2 linked regions of the Mus musculus genome follow. The protein of the gene in region 1 interacts with the protein of each later gene in a pairwise test. Links are inferred from orthologs where the notes say so. Each region holds a gene or a part of one and is shown in the gene's direction. Other genes may lie near its edges.

Evidence for each region. The genes of interacting proteins can lie anywhere in the genome.
Region 2: the proteins of Rap1gds1 (region 1) and Nras interact in binary tests that used the Homo sapiens proteins (3 or more experiments, as listed by UniProt). The link is inferred for Mus musculus from reciprocal best matches to the Homo sapiens genes RAP1GDS1 and NRAS.

The regions. Positions count from the first base shown.
Region 1 is NC_000069.6:139,068,061-139,078,733, reverse strand, and holds the start of Rap1gds1 (rap1 GTPase-GDP dissociation stimulator 1), read left to right. Parts: upstream 1-3,532; 5' UTR 3,533-3,694; coding exon 3,695-3,698; intron 3,699-10,673. UniProt on the Homo sapiens protein: Acts as a GEF (guanine nucleotide exchange factor) for the Rho family of small GTP-binding proteins (G proteins) that stimulates the dissociation of GDP to enable subsequent binding of GTP.
Region 2 is NC_000069.6:103,058,091-103,068,663, forward strand, and holds Nras (GTPase NRas), read left to right. Parts: upstream 1-194; 5' UTR 195-350; intron 351-376; exon of another isoform or gene 377-448; intron 449-471; exon of another isoform or gene 472-494; intron 495-505; exon of another isoform or gene 506-664; coding exon of another isoform or gene 665-740; intron 741-814; coding exon of another isoform or gene 815-831; coding exon 832-942; intron 943-2,110; coding exon 2,111-2,289; intron 2,290-4,283; coding exon 4,284-4,443; intron 4,444-5,239; coding exon 5,240-5,359; 3' UTR 5,360-5,363; intron 5,364-6,025; 3' UTR 6,026-6,067; intron 6,068-6,143; 3' UTR 6,144-9,824; downstream 9,825-10,573. UniProt on the Homo sapiens protein: Ras proteins bind GDP/GTP and possess intrinsic GTPase activity.

The DNA.
Region 1 (10,673 bases):
TTAGTTATTGAATAACTGGAGAAGTTTAGGCCTGGTATTTCCTCTCAGTCCCATGCTCCCAGAGATAAAACTCAGACTCAAAATATATTTACAAACGCATTGGCCATATAGCTAGATCATAACTTAAATTATCCCATTTATTTTATTCTACATTCTGCCAGGGGACTGGGCTCAGGTACCATGTGTCCATCTTGTCCCATCTTCCTGGGTGAATCTCCCATGCTTGGCTCTATCCCAGAATTCTTTCTTCCTCCCAGATGTTCCACCTTCTATTCTACCCTTTCCTATTGGCCTTAGGTTTTTGAATTGACAGGTGAAGCATCCATACAATACACAAGATAGTCTCTCTACAAATAATTGTTCTCACTGTGAGGTGTCAAGTTTATTTCTTTATTTTTAAAATGTCTTTTATTCTTTTTAGGAAAAATCTCAACACCATTCTTCTTCTTTAACATATATGGATGCTTTGCTACAGAGTATTTCTGTGTACCACGTGAATGCATGGTGCCCATGGAGGCCAGAAGAGGGCAGTAGATCACCCGGAACAAGAGTTACAGGTGATGATGCACCTCCATGAGGATGCTGGGAATGGGAGCCATGTCCTCTGCAAGAGCAGCCAGTGTTCTTAACATCATTCTTGCTCTCTTTTAGGAAAAAATCATAGAGACAACCGAAAGACTTTTAATTATGCAGTAACTTCCACTAAACATTTGCTCTGTTAGCTCTGTTCTCAGCACTGGTGATCTAACAGCCAAAAAGGAAAGGCAAAAATTACCGTCTTTCAGGATGGATGCTTAAACGTGATCGCTAAAGGGCAAAATACACGCCATTCTAGTGATAATATTGAAGAGACATAAAGTACAGAGGTGTGGATATAAAGTGGGTGTACAGAGTCTGGATGAAATGGTATAGAAGGGCTCCTCACACAGGTAACTTTGAACTCAGAGGTTCTCAGCCTTCCTAATGCTGCCACCCATTAAAACAGTTCCTCATGTTGTATATAGGCCCTCATGGTGACCCCCTAATCATAAAATAATTTTGTTGCTACTTCATAATTTTATTACTGTTACAAATCATAAATTAAATACCTGTGTTTTCTGATGGTCTTAGGTGACCCCTGTTACAGGGTCATTTGACAACCCCCCCTCCCCCCACCAAGGGCCATGACCCATAGGTTGAGAATAACTGTTTTAGACAAAAATATTTTAAAAATCATTATATTCCTATAAAAGGAGAAGAAAGAATTGTGTATGTTGGCACATTCCTTAATCCTATCATTGGAGAGGCCACAGGAGAACTGATATGTTTGTGAGATCATTTGGGCTACACAGTGAGTAGGCCAGCCAGGACTATATATAGCAAGACCACACTTCAAAAACAAAACAAAACAAAACAAAACAAAACAACCCAAGAGGCATTACATCATTCCTTAAATGAGCCACTTCTAGGTATAGTCCAAAAGAGTCTCACTATAGTTATGTCAATGTATTGGAGTTCAACATGATCATCATGATTGCCCTGCACTGTGCCTTTAATTGGTGAGAAAGTCGAAGGGGTGGCTTGTGGATGCAAGAGGAGCACAAATGATGCTTAAACTAATGCCAGGTGGGAGGACAAAAACCCAGCTGCCTTTCCAATTTCAATGCATACATGCAAATGAAAGCTAGACATACCCTGAAATTATTGTGATATGTAATTAGCAAAGGAAGTAACAGGAAACTTAAAGCAACTTGAAACAGAGAATGTAGAAGACATTTGTGAAAATTAAGGAAAGAGAGAGAGAGAGATCAACCATGTGAAGCAATAGAAAGACCTAGCATGGTCTTTTGCAAACATTTGGGAAAAAGAAGCAGAACAAGGCACGTGCATGTTTGTAGACTTGGGGGGGGGGGTGGTCTTACTGACTGAACTGTGCCCAGCCATCGAGCAGAAATCCCTAAGACATCGGAATGTGACCTTGTTCAGAAATCAGGTCATTGCAGACACCAGAGTCAAGATTGGGAGTGGCCTTCCCGATCTTCATGACCAGTGTCCTTATAAATAAGGGAAAACTGGACACATAAGCACGTAGGGAAAATATGTGAAAGCTAGAGTCATATTGCTACAAGGCAAGGAAGAGGTACCCTCAGAAGATGTGTGGTCCTGCCCTGGTTTGTCTTCTGGGCCCCAGATGCTCAGTAATTTTGTTTGAACCCTGTGTATAGAGATTATTACAACAATCCTAACAGCCTTCTGCAAGATGAATTATAGGCAAACAGGAAGAGTAGTTTTCTTCCAAGAACGGGTGTTTAACATCTGTATCAGTCTATGCCTGAGCTGCTGTAAATAGATCACACCTGTCTTTAATTATGTTGCATTTTTATTTCAGAAAAAATCACATAAAATCCCAGTACCTAACATATCGAGATGCTCTTGTGATCTGTGCCTGTAATATTAGCGACTGGTCTGTGAGAGTCACAGATGAAGAAACAGCCCCTTCTGGCAGCAAGAGTTGCAGCTCCTCTTCCTACAGATCGCCACAGGCCTGGGATAAAGTCCAGGCAGGCAGGGGTCAGGACACGTGCAGGTCTCCTACTGTCTCTTCTTCTTCCTTCTCCCCCTCCTTCTTTTATTTTACGTTATTATTATTATTTATTTTTTTGGTTTTTCACAGGCGGATTTCTGAGTTCCAGGCCAGCTGGTCTACAAAGTGAGTTCCAGGACTGCCAGGGCTACACAGAGAAATCCTACTGCCTCTTCTTGGTGCAGAGCCCAGTCTGGGACCCCGAGCCCCGCGAGAGCATGTGGGAGCATTTCGGTCACAGTCCCCGGGCGGCTCGTCATCCACCGAGTTACCCCCGCCCGTAGGTGGACTTTCAGTGTTTCTGATCTCAGCACGTCTTTCCTCCCTGGCACAGCCGGAGTGCGGCGGACACAGCCTGTAGGGTCCCGCCCGACGGGTTAAAGGGCTTTAGGCACTGGCTCGCCGAGGGTGACCTTGCGACCGCTCTCCGCTGGACCGGCTTTCCCGCCAGCCCCGCAGGACAGCCTGATGCGCCCTGGGGACGCGCCCGCGGACATCTACGTCCTCCTGCTCCGCCACCCCGCACATGCTCGCCTGGGGCGTGCGCTGCCAGGCACGCTCCGGGCTGAGACTTCCTCCCGGGAGGCTCCGTCCCAGCAGCCCGGAGATCTGAGCCCTGCTTCCGCCCCTCGAGCAACAGCCACCGAGCTGTACCGCTCCGGTCTGTAGACGCACAGCCCCCGGCGGGCTAAGCCTCGCCGGCCGTGGGCAGGAGGCAGCACTGGCCGCACTGAGCATGCTCGGCGGAGAGGGCGGGGCGCTCGGCGGAGAGGGCGGGGCGCTCGGCCGCGCGTCGGGAGGGCGCTCCTCAGGACGGCTCGGCGCCTCCGCGCCAGCCCGCCCGCCCGCCCGCCCGCACGTTCGCTCGCTCGCTCGCTCGCAGCCGCGCCCGCCGCAGGCTGCGCCCGGCCGCCCCGCCCCGCCCCGCCCCGCCCCCCGCCGCTCGTCCCCGCCGCGGCCGCGCCGCCCGCAGCCGCAGCCGCTGCTCCTCCCCGGCGGCCGCCCCCCGCGGGTCCCTCCCTGGCTGCGGGAGACGCGGAGGTAGAGGGAGGACGCCGCCGCCGCTGAGCCGCGCCGCCCGCACCCGAACCCTTCGCCTCGCCCTGCCGGTCCTCACTCTGTGGGAGGAACATGGGTGAGTCCTGCCGGCCGTCATCGCCTGACATTTTCTTTTCTCCCCCTCGGCGTGCTGCAGGGTGGCAGTGCATCTCTCCTGCAAACTTGCCGGGGTCCCCGGGTCCGCGAGGTGCGGGGCGGCGGCCCTCCCAGGGGGAAGGCGGGCGCACGAGGGCGGCCGGGCCGGCGGGGTCGCGCACGGGGTGGGGTCGGCGGCGGGCTCCGCGCTCGCCTCCCCTCCTCCACGCTTCCTGCCGGCACCGGGCCGCGCGGGGCGTCCCCGGGGCTGGGAGGCCGCGGTGCTGCAGGCTCGGTCCCACGGCGAGCCCGACCACTTGGCGGAACTTCCTTCCCGTGGGCGCGATCGCTCCCTCCCCGGCCTGCCGACGGCCGGCGCCGGTGCGGGGAGAGCCGGCAAGTAGTTTGGGAGGGCGATGGCCAGCCGAGTGCCGAGCGGACAGTCTCCAAGGTGGAGGTGGCGACTCGCCCGCCGCCGCCGTGGGCAGCGCGAGGCTGGCGGGAGCCGCTAGCTGTTGAATTAGTGTTGGGAGACTACGGCGTGCACAGTTCCGGTCCTCAAGCGGTTTTCTGGATTTCTCCTGTAGCTGGAAACTGTGCCCTGTAACACATTGTTAAGGAATTTACATGCTGCCTGTTCTGCCCCAGCTGCCCCTGCCTAAATCTGTATAATCTGATTCTAGTTCCATTGTACTTATAGTTAATCCTAAAAGAATGGATACTTCAATGCAAATGTTTTATAAAACTGTTTATGTTTGAACGTGAGATTCTCCTCAGATATTGCCTACCTGTGCATAATTACAAAAGCACCGGATACAAATCTCTTCTGTAATTAAGGGCGAAAAGTTTCCTTTGATAGTAACAACTTAGATCATCTGTCCAGTACACGTTCCCCAGTTTGCTTCTATTCCATAATTTGCGTCTATCGTAATTTCCCCTTTTAAAAACTGGCTTCTTCGGCGTCCCTCCACACGGACTTTGCCCACTCCTTCTGGGCAAGTTATTTATGAGTGTGGTCCTTTCATCTGTCAACACAGTGCTCAATGCTTAGAGTTAGATCATGGCAATACAGAACCCTCCAGGAAGTATCAGAATCCTAGAAATGATGTGGTAGCCTTTCCCGGAAGACCAAATACTCTTAGCTTTGAGTCAGATCTTTGTCATTTAGTAGGAAGAGGACCGTTGGGGGAGAAGGAGGTGGTTTTAATGAAACAAAGCAGAACAAAACACCCATGCCCCTGAATTTTATTTTCACTTGTTTGTCTTCCAAGTGAGTATCACTGACAGTCGGAACATTTCTATAAAAAAAAAAAAAAAAATCGGTATCCCATTTGTTCGTCCCTTTATAGAATTTTAAAAGAATACTAATCCAGATTACAGATTAAAATCTGCGTGTTGGAAAGTTTTTAATTACACTTACAGGTTTGGTGTAGAAACAAGTCTCAGTTTTTTAAAGGTGAGATTTAGTTAAAGCTCATTTTAACTAAACGTTCAAAATGTTGAATCGGTATTTTTCCCCCAGTGGGGGTGGATATCCAAGGTCTGTTGTTGCAAATTAGGGAATAAAAATACCTAAAACAGATTAAGTTACTTAATAATCTTGCAAATCTTGAATGCTGATGGGTGATTTAAAAGGGGGGGGGGAGAGTCAAATACAAACCCACTTTATTTTGAAGCTTCTCAGAAACTCTTGTTTATGTTCCCTCCTGTTAGCACTTGGGGTACCTTGTTAGAAGTTTTGTTGTTTTGTTTAAATAGCACCCACATAATGTCTAATGGAGTTATTTGCATATCTAGTTGTTTTGAGCATTTAACTTTATGTTCAAGAAGATGACATTTTATGTCTTAAGTTTTGTGTCTTTTGTGAGAGTTTTCACATAGTAGGTGTTCAATAAAATTTGGCCAAATTATTCTTTACACTGGCATGTACTTTCTGCTCTTGAACTTGAAACGTAGGCCCTAAACGTTGGCGTGAATTGGTAGACATGGAAGTATAGAAAATGTCTTGCTGTAAGGCCTTTCACTAAACACTGGTTACATTATTGCAGGGTGTGGGTTTTGAAGGCAACCTTAGGTATATAGTTTCCTTCTATAATGCTGTTTGCAGTGATTAAGATGTCTTTGTATGATCGAGAGGTATATACAATAATAAAACATTAAAACCTTGGAAGATAATTTTATATCTGAGCCACAGAAGTTAAGACAACTCCTAAGATATACTAATTAATGGTGGGGGAAGGGATTATTTTTTAACTGTCTTTTAAAGAAATCAATAAGGTGCATTTTATTTATTTTAGGTAGTCTGCTTTGTTTTTGTTGTCTTGGGTAGCAAACCCCAGAGCCTTGTGCATATTTGAGTCCCAGCTGGAACCCTTAAAGGGTATTTTTATGGCAATAGCTTTTCTCCATAAGAAAATGAAGAATATTTTCTATATAACCTCACAGATCCCAGCTGTGACTTTAATTACTATAAGTGTATATGTTATTGCAACCCAATATTGATCAAAACTCCATCCTATGGAGTGTACGGTGGGGAGGCAAGAATGAGTGATACAAACACACTTACGGTTTCCTATACTCTCCAGAACCATATGAGCCACAAATAACTATACTAAAAATGAGTGTGTGAGTCGCAGGAGTAAAGGCACACACCTGTATTCTCACCACAATGGAAGAAAGGCTGAGGCAGGAGGATCAAGAGGACTGGTGGGTTTGAAGCCATCCTGGGTTGCCTGGCTGGATTAAAAAGAAAAGTTATCCTGTCTCAAACAGCAACATTAAAGTCTTTATTCAACATGAGGAAATCTGCAAATGATACAAAGTATCTTTGCATATATTAGGAAGCTGTTGGGGATGCAGAGGTTTTAGAGAAATGTTATGTGAACCAAAGGTTAGTTAGGTTTCTAAACAGTAGAAATGAGAATGCTGGAAAGAGGGGTATGGGGTAAGATGAAAATAGATAGGGAAGGTTAGAGATGTTTCTAGAAAAGTTTATAAAAGGCCTTGTTTAGCTAGAGAAAAATACAGAAACGTTGGGAGACAGAAGTGAAAACGTATTACCAGTCACCAAATAGTGGTAGGTCTGAAATGCTGGGCTGAAGTTTGCACTTGTTGAGGGAGTCAACCATTAAATGTATTCATGGGGCAGAAGGTTGCTGTTCTCTTACCTGACCATAATGGTAATTTCACAGTAGTCCCTCACACTTCTTCGACATTCCCTTCTCTTATGTCTATGTTGTAGCATAGTATAGTTTGTTTGTTTTTAAACCCCTGTGGTATCTTCTATTGGAGATTCTGGTTTAACATTAGTTTTAGAGAGAGCAAAATCATCTAAACCAAAGTCTGTTTTGATTATAAATTTTACGATATTTGAAATTCAGGTTTGAAATGTGCCCAGTATCTCAGATGGCTTATATTCGTTCTGTCTCTGCATGGTGTTTTTCTTTAGTTTTCAAATGGCAGTTTCTTTCTTAACAAAGCAGCTTAAGTGTTTGGGTCAGTTTGCTAGCTATACTAGGGCTGAGATAGGGACTGTATTCAGACTGCAGAGGAATGGAATTTGCTTGGTACATTTATTTATACAGGATTGTTACTTAAAGAATTCCTGGAATTAAGCCAGGGATGAGGCTAGTGATAAAGGGGATGGCTATAAAGTGGGCTGCAAGCTATGACCAGCTGTGTTTGTAAAGTTCACAGTCCCTCTGGTGGTTTTTTACCCCTCTTTTCTTTCCAGAATGACTTTAGATACCTAGATACCTGTTGTATAGACAGACAGACAGACAGACAGACAGATGGACACACACACACACCAAAAACAAACAAACAAAAAAAACTTGCTACAACTTTGTATCTACCAGATTATTAGACAACACTATAAAAAATTATTTGAAACTCATTTTAGTTCAAAGTTAAACTGAATATATAATTAATTGAGATTTAATTTTAGTGATTATCAGTTTGCTAGTGTGATTATATTGTGTACTCACCTTATGGAAATAATAATTTCATGGACACAATAATAAACTATAGTGAAAAATGTGGTGCTTTGCTTAATATAAATACCCATTTTAATGTGTCTTATCTAACTGCCCATCATTTAATTTTTAATAATGGTTTTAATAACTGTCTCAGATTTTCTAAAAATGAATGAACAAGCCTCCTGGGCCAGTAGTCTTCAGACCATACTGAAGCAGTAGTTACCCCCTGTGGATGCCAGTTACCATGTTGCACTTTATAGAACTTAAAATTTAATCTTCTTAACAGTTAATAGGGTGACACACTCCCTATTTTACTGATTCAAAGAAATAGTTCCTCCAAGAGGATAAAACATTCCAAAAATCTTAATTTTTAAAGTAGTCATTTTCAAAGTTTAGCTTGCCTAAGAATCATCTGGAGAGTTTGTTTAAAACACGATGACTGGGCAGCTCCCAGTTCTGATTGAGTTGGTTTGCATCGTTGAGAGAGTCTCAGGTGAGAGCGGGTATTGGGAATAACACCTCCACGCAGCAGACGTTGGCAAGCTTTTTCTGTAAAGGGCCAGATGGTAAATATTTTAGACTTTCAGGCCAGGAGGCAAAGTCAAGACTGTTGAACAGGAAAAAAAAAAAAAGAAAGAAATATATGACGAACAAATATATGAAAACAAACAATTGCAGTCTTTTGGTTGAATTCAAAACAACCAATATTGATTGGACAGTTTGTGTGGTACAGGTTGTTTCAAAGGGTCACATGACAATTATGGTTCCAAGTCACCGAATTATCAGCATTGATTATAGATATTCATCGGTTAGTGCAGAGCTCTAATGAAGTTTTTCCACGTAGGTAGTGCCGGGTGCACATAATTCTTCTTGTTTTGGATACGCTGAGTGTTAAGCCCAGGGTTCTGTGCGCCTCTGTTCCTAATGAGCCTAGCTCTCGTACAGGAGGCATTTAGAGACTTCTTGTGTTCTTGATAGTTCCCAGTTGGCATTCAGATGAGCTACCTCCAGTTGATAACTCAGTCAGCTCTTAGTGAGCTTGTGAGAGAGAGGCTGCAACTGTAGTTTTGGCTTGAAAAGTCTGTGTTGTAGTAAATATTCTTTGGGGGTTTCTGCTCTACCTTAGATCATTTAGTTCCCAAATAAAAGACACAAAACCTTTATAGGTATCATAGGCCTTAAAAGCACTAGAGCTGGGCAGCTATCAGCCTTCTGCGCTGCCTTGTCCACTTCCCTGTCAGTAACCCTGATATATGACTTCCATCTGGGCTGCTCCTGCTCCAGCTGGCTGTCCTCATTGCCGTGTTCTCACGATCTGTCTACCTCATCTCACCTTACTCTGCTCTCTTCATGGTCTGTGCCTCTGACCCCAAGTCCCTGGAGCTGAAGCCTTGCCTACCTCTCGTCTGCCCAGCTACAGTCTCTGGTTAGTTTTATTGACCAATCAGGGATCACTTGGGAGGCAAGGTTACATAGCATCACTTGGTGTGCATCCCTGGGGACAACCAGACCTTGGGGGCCAGTATTTAGCCTTACAATACATAGCAACGGATGAAACCTCAACAGGTATACCTACGTTTTCTGTGTTCATGGAGATCTTGTTTAATAGATGACGACACAGCAATGGCCCAAGGTAGATCAGTTCTTACTTCTGATTGGTCCAGATGACATTATTGTACTATATATTTCTTCTGTGAGTTTTACATTGACTTTGAGATGAGATGCACTAGGAACATCAAATATGTAGGGAAGTCTAGTTTTCAAAGACATGAGCTTGGGGCTTAGTTGTTTTCTTTCTTCCTTTGCTATTTGTAGTGAGTATTTTTTTTTAAAGGTCAGAACATCTCCTGTGTCCTGAATATATGTGTGTGTGTGTGTGTGTGTGTGTGTGTGTGTGTGTGTATATATACTCCTTTTAAATCAACTATAACCTTACAGATGCTAACCCACTGGGCTCCCATGTAGTAAGACAAGTTGTGAGTTTTTAATTTCTACTCTGATAGGGATAGACAGAGCCAACCGTGGGTTGGTTAAATCTCTGAGTGCAAATCAAGTTCTCTCCTGGTGGCAGTCAAAGGATACCCGTAAGGATTAAATGCTTTTCTCCAGAAAAACCTGCTGATGAAGCACAGTAAGCCTCAAACACCGTGTGTTTGGAAAACAGCGTTTCTAAGCTCGGTGAATCAGCCTCTGTGCTGCTCAGATGGGTTTGATGCCACTTCAGGTTATACACGATGACGTTTTCTTCGAAAATTCTCTTTCTAATCACTGTTCTATGTCAAAAGCAGCTTTACAGAACTAAATTCTTAAGCAGTTTGGAACTGACTTCTTGAAGACAGAACAAGCAAACAAACAAAAACCAACAAGTGAAAACAGGTGACTTAGGAGCCAGGGGAAAAAATGAAGCTATTATTTTTCCTTGTCTGTCTCTAGACTGTGTTACAAGCCCCTGCCCCCACACTCTGAGTTTTTAAGTTCCAGTCTTGCAGAGCAAGCACTTTGCCAACTGAGCTGTTTTCCTGTTGCACTTTTCTTGGGAGACACAGAGGAACATCTAATCACCCCAGATGGACATCCAGGACAGACCGTAGTATGGTTTAACCAAGGCCAACTTGGTGAGAGCAGTGAGAGTAGGGCTTTCAGACTGGGGGCTTATTTACCTCCAGGTTGGGGAGCATGCATGACCTCCGCATCCCCAAAGAGCTGCATCACTGCCGGGTCCAACCCTTGTAGGATGGCTGCAACATGGAAGCCTTGTCCTGGAGCCCTACCCTCTGTTAAGCTCCTAATTCCTGTGTACTTTTGCCATCTCCCAAGATCACTTGCAGTGGGGGACTGGATGGTGAATCCCACGTTAGGGCCCCGTTTCTCGATTCATCTACTCCCTAGGGAGTCCCAATGGCTCTAGTACCATAGTTAGTACCATAGAGCTGGCTACGACTGTATTATTCTGTTCTAGTTACCATAGCTACCATGGGCAAAGCCCATGATAGAATGCT
Region 2 (10,573 bases), about 36 Mb from region 1:
ATCTTTGTAAACACAAAACATTTTTGCTTTCTCCGGTTTTATGTTAATGGCGAAAGAATGGAAGCGAATAAAGTTTTACTGATTTTTGAGACACTAGCACCTAGCGCTTTCATTATTGAAATGGGGGCGGGGCGGGGCTGGACTGGGTGCGGCCGGCTGCAAGACTCTAGTCGTCGGCCCACGTGGCTGGGGCGGGGACTGGGGCGCCTTGGGCGCCTAGTGATTACGTAGCGGGTGGGGCCGGAAGTGCCGCTCCCTGGCGGGGGCTGTTCATGGCGGTTTCGGGGTCTCCAACAGCTTCTCAGGTTGAAGTCCAAAAGCCTCCCGAGGCGGGGTCTGCGGAGTTTGAGGTAAAGCTCCGGCCTGCCTGGCGTCGGACTTCTCAGCGTGTGAACGCCTGGCGGGGCGGGGAGACGCGGAGACTTGGCGAGCTGAAACAAAGGCTTGGGTGGGGGACTCTGGCTGGCTCTGGGGTGATTTTCGGAGCCGGAAAGGGGAGTTTCGGGAAGTGGTTGTGCCAGGCGGACCCCAGAGCTTGGGTTTGCAGGAATTGGAAGAGGGGGGTTCTTTTCCCGTAAACTGAGGGCGGGGCCGAGTAGATTGAAAAAATAGTCGCTGGTCTTTAATCCAATAATCTGGCCCGCACTCATCTGCAAGGAATGCTATGTTTCTGAATCACTTTGAGAACTTAGTGGAAGGCCACGTGTATCGAATGGGTGCCTTAGAAACAGAAGAGTTTGGTAAACTCATAGAAGCCCTTGAAGTATTGTAGGTTTGGTTTGCCAGTTTAATCGTAATTGCTGCTTTTCTACAGGTTTTTGCTGGTGTGAAATGACTGAGTACAAACTGGTGGTGGTTGGAGCAGGTGGTGTTGGGAAAAGCGCCTTGACGATCCAGCTAATCCAGAACCACTTTGTGGATGAATATGATCCCACCATAGAGGTGAGGCCCAGCCCCTGCCTGGCCCTTATCCTCACTTTGGGCTTTCTCTTGCCCATAACGGCTCTTTGAAAGTAAAGAGAAGAGAAAGCAAGGAGGTATTCCAAAAAAGCAGTAAACAAGTTCGTGCTTACTGAGGATTTCCTTTTAAAAGAACACAGTTTTCATTGTTTCTTTATGTCACAGCTCTTTAATAGAAACGTAGGTCACAAGGAAAAAGATTGTAGGCGATCATACAGTGAGGATAGAGAACTCAGAGCTCTGGATAGTCTGAAGTTGTCATTTTTGATCTAGTCCAGATTGAGTTGGGGTAGAAACAAGTTGAGATTTTGAGTCATTGTATCTAGGAATTTCTTCACAATTTAGTTACGGATATTGAGGAAAATCACCTAAATCCTTACAAGTCTCATATTTCTATATGACGTTAAATTTCTATCACTTCCCTGGGATTAATGGTGCAGGTATGTATAAGTCCAATTTGTAAGCATTCAAGAGGCTGAGGGAGGAGGTTTCAATTTCTAGGCTTGCCTGAACTACTTACTGAGGCCCTGTTTACAAAAACCAAATATTTTTTTCATGTGTAAACCTGTTCTAACACACAGGAATGTTAGTTAAATTCAGATGTCTACACAGGTTACATTTTAATATATTCATGAAACAAAATATAAGCACATTTCCAAAACCACAGATAAGGTCTTCTAAGTTTGGACTATTATATAATAAAAATAAGAATTTGGCCATAAATCCATACTAGATGTTTCTGGTTTTGTTATTTTTTATTAGTGGTTTTGTTTTCTTTGGTTTTTTGTTTTTGTTGTTGTTGTTGTTATTGTTTGTTTGTTTTTTGTTTTTGTCTTAACCTCATAACTCAGGCTGGTTTTGTTTTTGTTTTGTTTTTTTTTGAAACAGGGTCTCACTGCACTACCCTGGCTGGCCTGAGACTTGAACTCACAGATATAAATTCACCTGCCCTTATGTCATGTGTGCATGCATGCGTGTGATTATGTATGTGTATGTTTGTTTGCTATTCATGCTACTGTTAGCGGGTTGAGGGTAAATCACATAGGTAGGCGTATTCATCCTGGTTAATTACATTTCTCTGGTTTTAAATAAAGATTGAGCCTGTCCTTGTCCCCCCCACCACCACCTCCTCACTCTTTCATATTCCCAGGATTCTTACCGAAAGCAAGTGGTGATTGATGGTGAGACCTGCCTGCTGGACATACTGGACACAGCTGGACAAGAGGAGTACAGTGCCATGAGAGACCAGTACATGAGGACAGGCGAAGGGTTCCTCTGTGTATTTGCCATCAATAATAGCAAATCATTTGCAGATATTAACCTCTACAGGTACTGGGGATATTTTCTGAAACAAAAAATTTGTATGTGCTCTGAAACTATACTAAAGTATATGGACTTAGGAAACATACAACTTTTTAACATTTTGGTGATATTGTTTTGTTTTGTTTTGTTTTGTGGAGGCCAGAACAAGTGCAACAGCAGATATGTGCCATGGGAGGCAGAAGACAGCTAATAAAAGCTCCCTCCTTAGGGCCTGGGCATCTTGGCTTAGTTAGCAGGCGCCTTTGCCCATGGACCATCTTTAAACCCCAAATATTAAAAAGAATCTGCTAGGCAGTGATGGTGCACACCTTTAATCCCAGCACTCAGGAGGCAAAGGCAGGCGGATTTCTAAGTTCGAGGCCAGCCTGGTTTACAGAGTGAGTTCCAGGACAGACAGGGCTACACAGAGAAACCCTGTCTCAAAAAACAAAAGAAAGAAAAAGAGAAGAATCTGATTTTCACTGAGTGTGTGGTGTACTGTCACGGTACTACTCGGGAAATGGGGTCTGCTACAGAGTAACAGTAAGACTTCTCAGAGAACTGGTGAGTTTCAGAGCTATTTGGGCCCTAAGGATTTTAGTACAACATTCTTACTCATTTTACATTTTTGAGACAGGATGTTGCTATGTATCCCAGACTTACCTTGAATTTAGCACTTGGCCTCAGCCTTCCAAGTGCTAACTTTATAGGTATATGCCAACACTCCCAGCCAATATTCTGAGTTCAGAGGTGTTAGATTTTCAGAGTTGTTGTGATTTTTCTGTTTGTTTGTTTAAGTTTGGTCTGGTTTTAAAGACAGGGTTTCTTTGTGTGGCCTGGAACTCTTTGATCAGGCTAGCCTTGAACTCACAGAGCTCCACCTGCCTCTGCCTCTGCCTCCCCAGTTCTGGGATTAAAGGCATGCACCACCACTGCCCATCCATATAGCAGAGGTAGACCCCCAAAACACTGGGTCTCTCTCTCTTACAGCAGCATTCTATCTTTAGTCACTGTCAAAGTTAAAACATGGCTCTGTTATTAATTAGCTAAGTAACTTTAGGACAAAATACTAAATCTGTGTGTCTCTGTGTTTCTGAATTTATTATAAGAATACCTCCATCAGCCGGGCGTAGTGGCGCACGAGGTGTTGGCAGACTTACAAAGTATACACAATGGGTCAGACACTGTTCTGAATATGTATGAATTTGTTTACTCTTGGCAACTTTATGGGGGAGGTATTCTTTTTTAAGAAGATTTAGTTTTATTTCTGGGTACGCGTTGTTTTGCTATGTCTATGCACACATGGGCCTGGTGCTCAAGGAGGCCAGAGGAGGGTTCCAGATGCCTTAGAACTGGAGTTATAGATGTCTGGGGCCCTGTGTGGGTACTAGCAATTGAACCTGGGTCACCTGAAAGAGTAGACAGTGTTCTTAATCCCTGAGCCATCTCTCCAGCCTTGAGGGAGGTTTTTTTTTTTGGTTTTTTTGTTTTTTTAATTTTTTGAGACAGGTTTTCTCTGTAAAGCCCTGGCTGTCCTGGAACTCACTCTGTAGGCCAGGCTAGCCTCAAACTCAGAAATCTGCCTGCTTCTGCCTCCTGAGTGCTGGGATTAAAGGCATGCACCACCACACCCGGCTAGAATTTTCTTAGTGTTACGTATCTTAAGTTATTTAGAATCCATAAGCTCTACTTTCTGTACTTTTAAGCTTAATCTAAAGAACCTTTTGTAGTTTCCAATTAAACCCAGAGCCAAGCTCCTTGGAAAATATAGGAGCCTAACAAGGACATGCATCAGTATATTGGAGCTGGAAGTGAACTGGTATTCACAGCCTCATACAGCTTCTACACCAAGTCTAAATTGACATTCTTGACTTAGCAGGTCTAGAGTTGTATGAGTGTGTAAGCTGAGTAATAGTAGCTGGAAGGATTTTGTAAATTTACCACTTCCTTTTGTGTGCCAGCGTACTCCTCCAGAAAGCTTGCTTTGCTTATTATGATCAGCTGCCTGCTCTTTGTTCTAGGGAGCAAATTAAGCGTGTGAAAGATTCTGATGATGTCCCCATGGTGCTGGTAGGCAACAAGTGTGACTTGCCAACAAGGACAGTTGACACAAAGCAAGCCCACGAACTGGCCAAGAGTTACGGAATTCCATTCATTGAGACCTCAGCCAAGACCCGACAGGTATGCTAGAGATTCAAGCAAGTGTGAGTAAGTGTTTAAAGCAGAGATGTTTGATTGATCAAGTGTGGTAGAGATGTAATCTATGTTATGTATAATGGGTTTTGGATAGTGGTTTCTGTATAGTTAGTCTTTGTTTCTTGTTAAACTTTTCCCCTCTTCCCCTATCACCCCCCCCCCAAAAAAAAGAACACTACTGTACTGTGGGATTTCGTTGTTGTTGTTGTTGTTGTTGTTGTTGTTGTTGTTGTTGTTGTTGTTGTTCGAGACAGGATTTCTCGTGTAGCCCTGGCTGTCCTGGAACTCACTTTGTAGACCAGGCTGGGCTCCATCGAATTTAGAAATCCTCCTGCCTCTGCCTCCCAAGTGCTGGGATTAAAGGCATGCGCCACCACTCCCTGGCAGGGAATTCTATTTCTGCTTTAACAGGCTCAACTCTTCCAAGATTAAACATTCTCTAAGCATGAATCCTTTTTTCTGTCAGCACTTGCCACTATTGAGGACTTAACTTTCCTGGAGGGATCCTCACAGTCAGTAGTTCTGTACTGTACACCCACCTTGCCCTTCTTCCTTGGCTGGACTATCTTTGTGTTGTTTGTTTTGTAAATAAAACATGCCAGTTACCAGTGTGATCCCCTAGGAATGCTGAATTTGGTGTCTTCTTCCTAAGTCACCCCAATTTATCAGCTATTGATTAGAATCAAATCCACACAGAGAGGTGGAAATGAGAGGTTACAACTTGAACTGTGCCTGTTGTTCGTTAGTTTTTTTGTATGTGTTTTTTTTTTTCTTTTACTAGGGTGTGGAGGATGCCTTTTACACACTGGTAAGGGAGATACGCCAGTACCGAATGAAAAAGCTCAACAGCAGTGACGATGGCACTCAAGGTTGTATGGGGCTGCCCTGTGTGCTGATGTAGTAAGGTGAGTGTGTGCTCTTACATTGGAACCATAGCTTCTACTTAGCATTAGGCAGTTCAGAATAGTGCCAGCACTACTGACTTTTGCAACTTAAATGAGAGTTTTCATATATTTGCAACTAGAAAATGCAAATATATATTTGATTCATATGCCAGCATCCATGTTGGGTATCTCGTAGCCAACTGTGACTCCAGCTCCAAGGGATCCACTGTTTATGACCTCCACAGGCCACTACATGTCACACACACAAACAAATATTAAAAGTAAAATAATTTGGGGCTGGAGAGATGCTCAGCGGTTAAGAGCACTGACTGCTCTTCCATACGTCCTGAGTTCAATTCCCAGCAACCACTTGGTGGCTTACAACCATCTGTGATGGGATCTGATGCCCTCTTCTGGTGTGTCTGAAGAGAGTGACAGTGCACTCACATATATAAAATAAATAAATCTTTAAAAAAAATAAAATAATTTCCCTCATAGCACCTTTTCAGGGAGTGCTAAGATCTAATTAATTCTTTCAGCATTTATTCTACAGACAGCTTCCTATTTTTAGTATAGGAATTTGAGACCTATATGTGCCATGATTGTGGAGTGGACACATTGAAGATGCCATACTAAGGATTGACAATATAGACACTAAATGACACTGTGTTCTTTTGTTGTAGACACTTTGAAAGTTCTGTCATCAGAAAAGAGCCACTTTGAAGGTAGGACAAGTTTGAAATGTCTTGATTGACACTGAGTTTCCTATCCTGGTTTCTCTTACCTCCGTCTCTGTTTCAGCTGCACTGATGCCCTGGTTCTGACATCCCTGGAGGAGACCTGTTCCTGCTGCTCTCTGCATCTCAGAGAAGCTCCTGCTTCCTGCTTCCCCGACTCAGTTACTGAGCACAGCCATCTAACCTGAGACCTCTTCAGAATAACTACCTCCTCACTCGGCTGTCTGACCAGAGAAATAGACCTGTCTCTCCCGGTCGTTCTCTGCCCTGGGTTCCCCTAGAAACAGACACAGCCTCCAGCTGGCTTTGTCCTCTGAAAAGCAGTTTACATTGATGCAGAGAACCAAACTAGACATGCCATTCTGTTGACAACAGTTTCTTATACTCTAAGGTAACAACTGCTGGTGATTTTCCCCTGCCCCCAACTGTTGAACTTGGCCTTGTTGGTTTGGGGGGAAAATGTCATAAATTACTTTCTTCCCAAAATATAATTAGTGTTGCTGATTGATTTGTAATGTGATCAGCTATATTCCATAAACTGGCATCTGCTCTGTATTCATAAATGCAAACACGAATACTCTCAACTGCATGCAATTAAATCCAACATTCACAACAAAGTGCCTTTTTCCTAAAAGTGCTCTGTAGGCTCCATTACAGTTTGTAATTGGAATAGATGTGTCAAGAACCATTGTATAGGAAAGTGACTCTGAGCCATCTACCTTTGAGGGAAAGGTGTATGTACCTGATGGCAGATGCTTTGTGTATGCACATGAAGATAGTTTCCCTGTCTGGGATTCTCCCAGGAGAAAGATGGAACTGAAACAATTACAAGTAATTTCATTTAATTCTAGCTAATCTTTTTTTTTTTTTTTTTTTTTTTTGGTAGACTATCACCTATAAATATTTGGAATATCTTCTAGCTTACTGATAATCTAATAATTAATGAGCTTCCATTATAATGAATTGGTTCATACCAGGAAGCCCTCCATTTATAGTATAGATACTGTAAAAATTGGCATGTTGTTACTTTATAGCTGTGATTAATGATTCCTCAGACCTTGCTGAGATATAGTTATTAGCAGACAGGTTATATCTTTGCTGCATAGTTTCTTCATGGAATATATATCTATCTGTATGTGGAGAGAACGTGGCCCTCAGTTCCCTTCTCAGCATCCCTCATCTCTCAGCCTAGAGAAGTTCGAGCATCCTAGAGGGGCTTGAACAGTTATCTCGGTTAAACCATGGTGCTAATGGACCGGGTCATGGTTTCAAAACTTGAACAAGCCAGTTAGCATCACAGAGAAACAGTCCATCCATATTTGCTCCCTGCCTATTATTCCTGCTTACAGACTTTTGCCTGATGCCTGCTGTTAGTGCTACAAGGATAAAGCTTGTGTGGTTCTCACCAGGACTGGAAGTACCTGGTGAGCTCTGGGGTAAGCCTAGATATCTTTACATTTTCAGACCCTTATTCTTAGCCACGTGGAAACTGAAGCCAGAGTCCATACCTCCATCTCCTTCCCCCCCCAAAAAAATTAGATTAATGTTCTTTATATAGCTTTTTTAAAGTATTTAAAACATGTCTATAAGTTAGGCTGCCAACTAACAAAAGCTGATGTGTTTGTTCAAATAAAGAGGTATCCTTCGCTACTCGAGAGAAGAATGTAAAATGCCATTGATTGTTGTCACTTGGAGGCTTGATGTTTGCCCTGATAATTCATTAGTGGGTTTTGTTTGTCACATGATACCTAAGATGTAACTCAGCTCAGTAATTCTAATGAAAACATAAATTGGATACCTTAATTGAAAAAAGCAAACCTAATTCCAAAATGGCCATTTTCTCTTCTGATCTTGTAATACCTAAAATTCTGAGGTCCTTGGGATTCTTTTGTTTATAACAGGATCTTGCTGTGTAGTCCTAGCTGGCCTCAAACTCACAATACTCTTCCTGGATCAATCTCCCAAGTGCTGGGATTACAGGCACATTCCACCACACACACCTGACTGAGCTCGTTCCTAATGAGTTTTCATTAAGCAAATTCCCCATCACCTTGAAACTAATCAGAAGGGGGAAGAAACATTTGCTATGCTCCTGAGTGCTAACACTGGGATCATTCACATGGGGTTTGCATTCCTAGGCAAACTAAACTGCTGCCTTTTACAACAAGGCTCAGTCATCTTCCTGAAGCTGCTGAGACCAGCACTTGGTCTTGTTTTGTTTTAATATGTCTATATGACTGGTGGTGGATCCCTAAATAGTTTATTAATTAAACTCCAGTTAAGGAGAAAGTTACTCACCTTGACCCGTTTGACCATATCCCGTGTGTGTGTGTGTGTGTGTGTGTGTGTGTGTGTGTGTGTGTGTGTGCACGCGTATGTACGTACGTATGTATGTAGGTATGTAGGTGGTTTCCAGTATAAACACAGAAACAAATGGAGCCAATTCAGGTTTCAGATGCCCTTACTAACATATATTCCCACGGGGTGTGGGTTTTGGCACAACAGTGACAAACTTAAAAGCCAAGTAAGAGCCGGGCGTGGTGGCGCACGCCTTTAATCCCAGCACTTGGGAGGCAGAGGCAGGCGGATTTCTGAGTTCTAGGCCATCCTGGTCTACAGTGAGTTCCAGGACAGCCAGTGCTACACAGAGAAACCCTGTCTCGAAAAGCCAAAAAAAAAAAAAAAAAAAAAAAAAAAAAGCCAAGTAGGTCCAGTTGGTATAGTATCAAAGTGTTTTTAGAGTAATTAGTGAAGGTCTGCTTTACCTCAAAGTTGCAGAGCCTCTCTTCCTGAGTTTAAGTGCCTGGCCGGCAGTCACAAATTAACATGTTGCTGTAAGGCAGTTAGTTGAAGCTTTGTTCACACATTGGAGAGTATGAAAATAAAGTGTTCTAAGAGCGCTGATACTGGATCTGTGTAAACCTGGTAAATGCCGTTTGTCCAGGACTTAGCGTGTGTGAGTTGGTAGCTCAGTACGAGTTTACTAGTTCCGCAGTGTGTACAATGGAGGCGGGTTTGTTTTAGCTGGCCACCTGTAGAATCAGCCTTTAAACTGCTGTGAACTTTGTCATGACTTGAATATGAAGATAGACAAAAACTCTGTAAAGACAAATGTTTGTTTTCCCCCTTACAGAACGTGTGAGCTTGGTTTTATCTTCCTTTGTATTTAGTCATAACCTCTCAAGCTGGCAGCTCCGACCAAGGATCAGAAGCTGTGTGCGTTCCACCTGGTGGAATTAGCTCAGCTCTATATGAGAAGTGGAGTTAATGGAAAACGTGTTGACTGGGTGGTTTCTATTTAAAAGAGTGATGATAATTCTTGAACAGTAGTTTTTATTTTGCTATTTCTTTAAGCTGACTGATGTGCCACAAAATTATTTTAAGGTATTTGTGTTTTAAGAGTGTTCTCATGAGATTAGTTGTAGATATTTTTTAAAATACAACTGGTTTTTAAAATCTGAGTATTGCTCTAAGCAAGTGTTTAGACTCTTACGGGAAGGTGGGTGGAAGTTGTTTGGCTTCCGTATTTCCATGCGTGCCGTCAGACATAGGTCAGAACGCCAACTGTGCATCCTGCTGTTTAAAGACCTCTTGGCCTCTGTGACCCTCATGAAGGGGCTGATATTTTAAGTTGACTGTTTGATTGTAAATTAATCCTTTCTAATTTTTAAAGACTTGCTTGACTGTTTTCCTTGTTAAATAATTTTAAAAAAATAAAAAACTGGAAGTTCTTTGCTTAACTGTATTTTCCCTACTGCCATAGGGTTTCTACTGCTGTTAAGAGACACCATGACCACAGCAACTCTGATAAAGAAAACATTTAGTTGGGCTGGCTTACAGTGTCAGAGGTTTAGTCAGTTATGGTCACGGTGGGAAACATGGCAGCGTGCAGGCAGACATAGTGCTGGAGAAGGAGCTGAGAGTACTACATCTTGATGTGAAAGCAGCATAAAAAGACTGCCACACTAGACCTAAGGAGCACCTTTTGGAGACCTTAGAGTCTATCCCCACAGTGATACACTTCCTCCAACAAGGCCACACCTCTGTGGGCCAAGCATTCAAACACATGAATCTGTGGGGGCCATTCCTATTCAAACCACCAAACCCACCAAGGTCTGTATTAGGAAATTATATTTCAGATATTGATGTTCTTTTTGGGCAGTGCAGGGGAGACTCAAGCTCCTCATTTGTTCTCAGTATAGTCAGTGGCCTCCTCCGCCTCTCTAAGGATTCTCTTTTTGTGGTTTTTGTTTCTTAGGATCCATTGTGTTGAAGGAAGCATTCCTTTTGAGTAGCATAATGAAGTTTGTCAGGGTCCTGTGTCACCCTGCCAGAGCTTGAGTCTTCCCTTGTACCAACCACACAGCTACACTGTTCGTTACCTGTTCTGGGGTTCTTTGGCTCATCGATGTATCAGTAGCACAGTTTACCTAGAGGCTCAACATGGGAGAGCACTGTACTCATTTTACTGTGTTCATTATGGGAGCTGTTAAG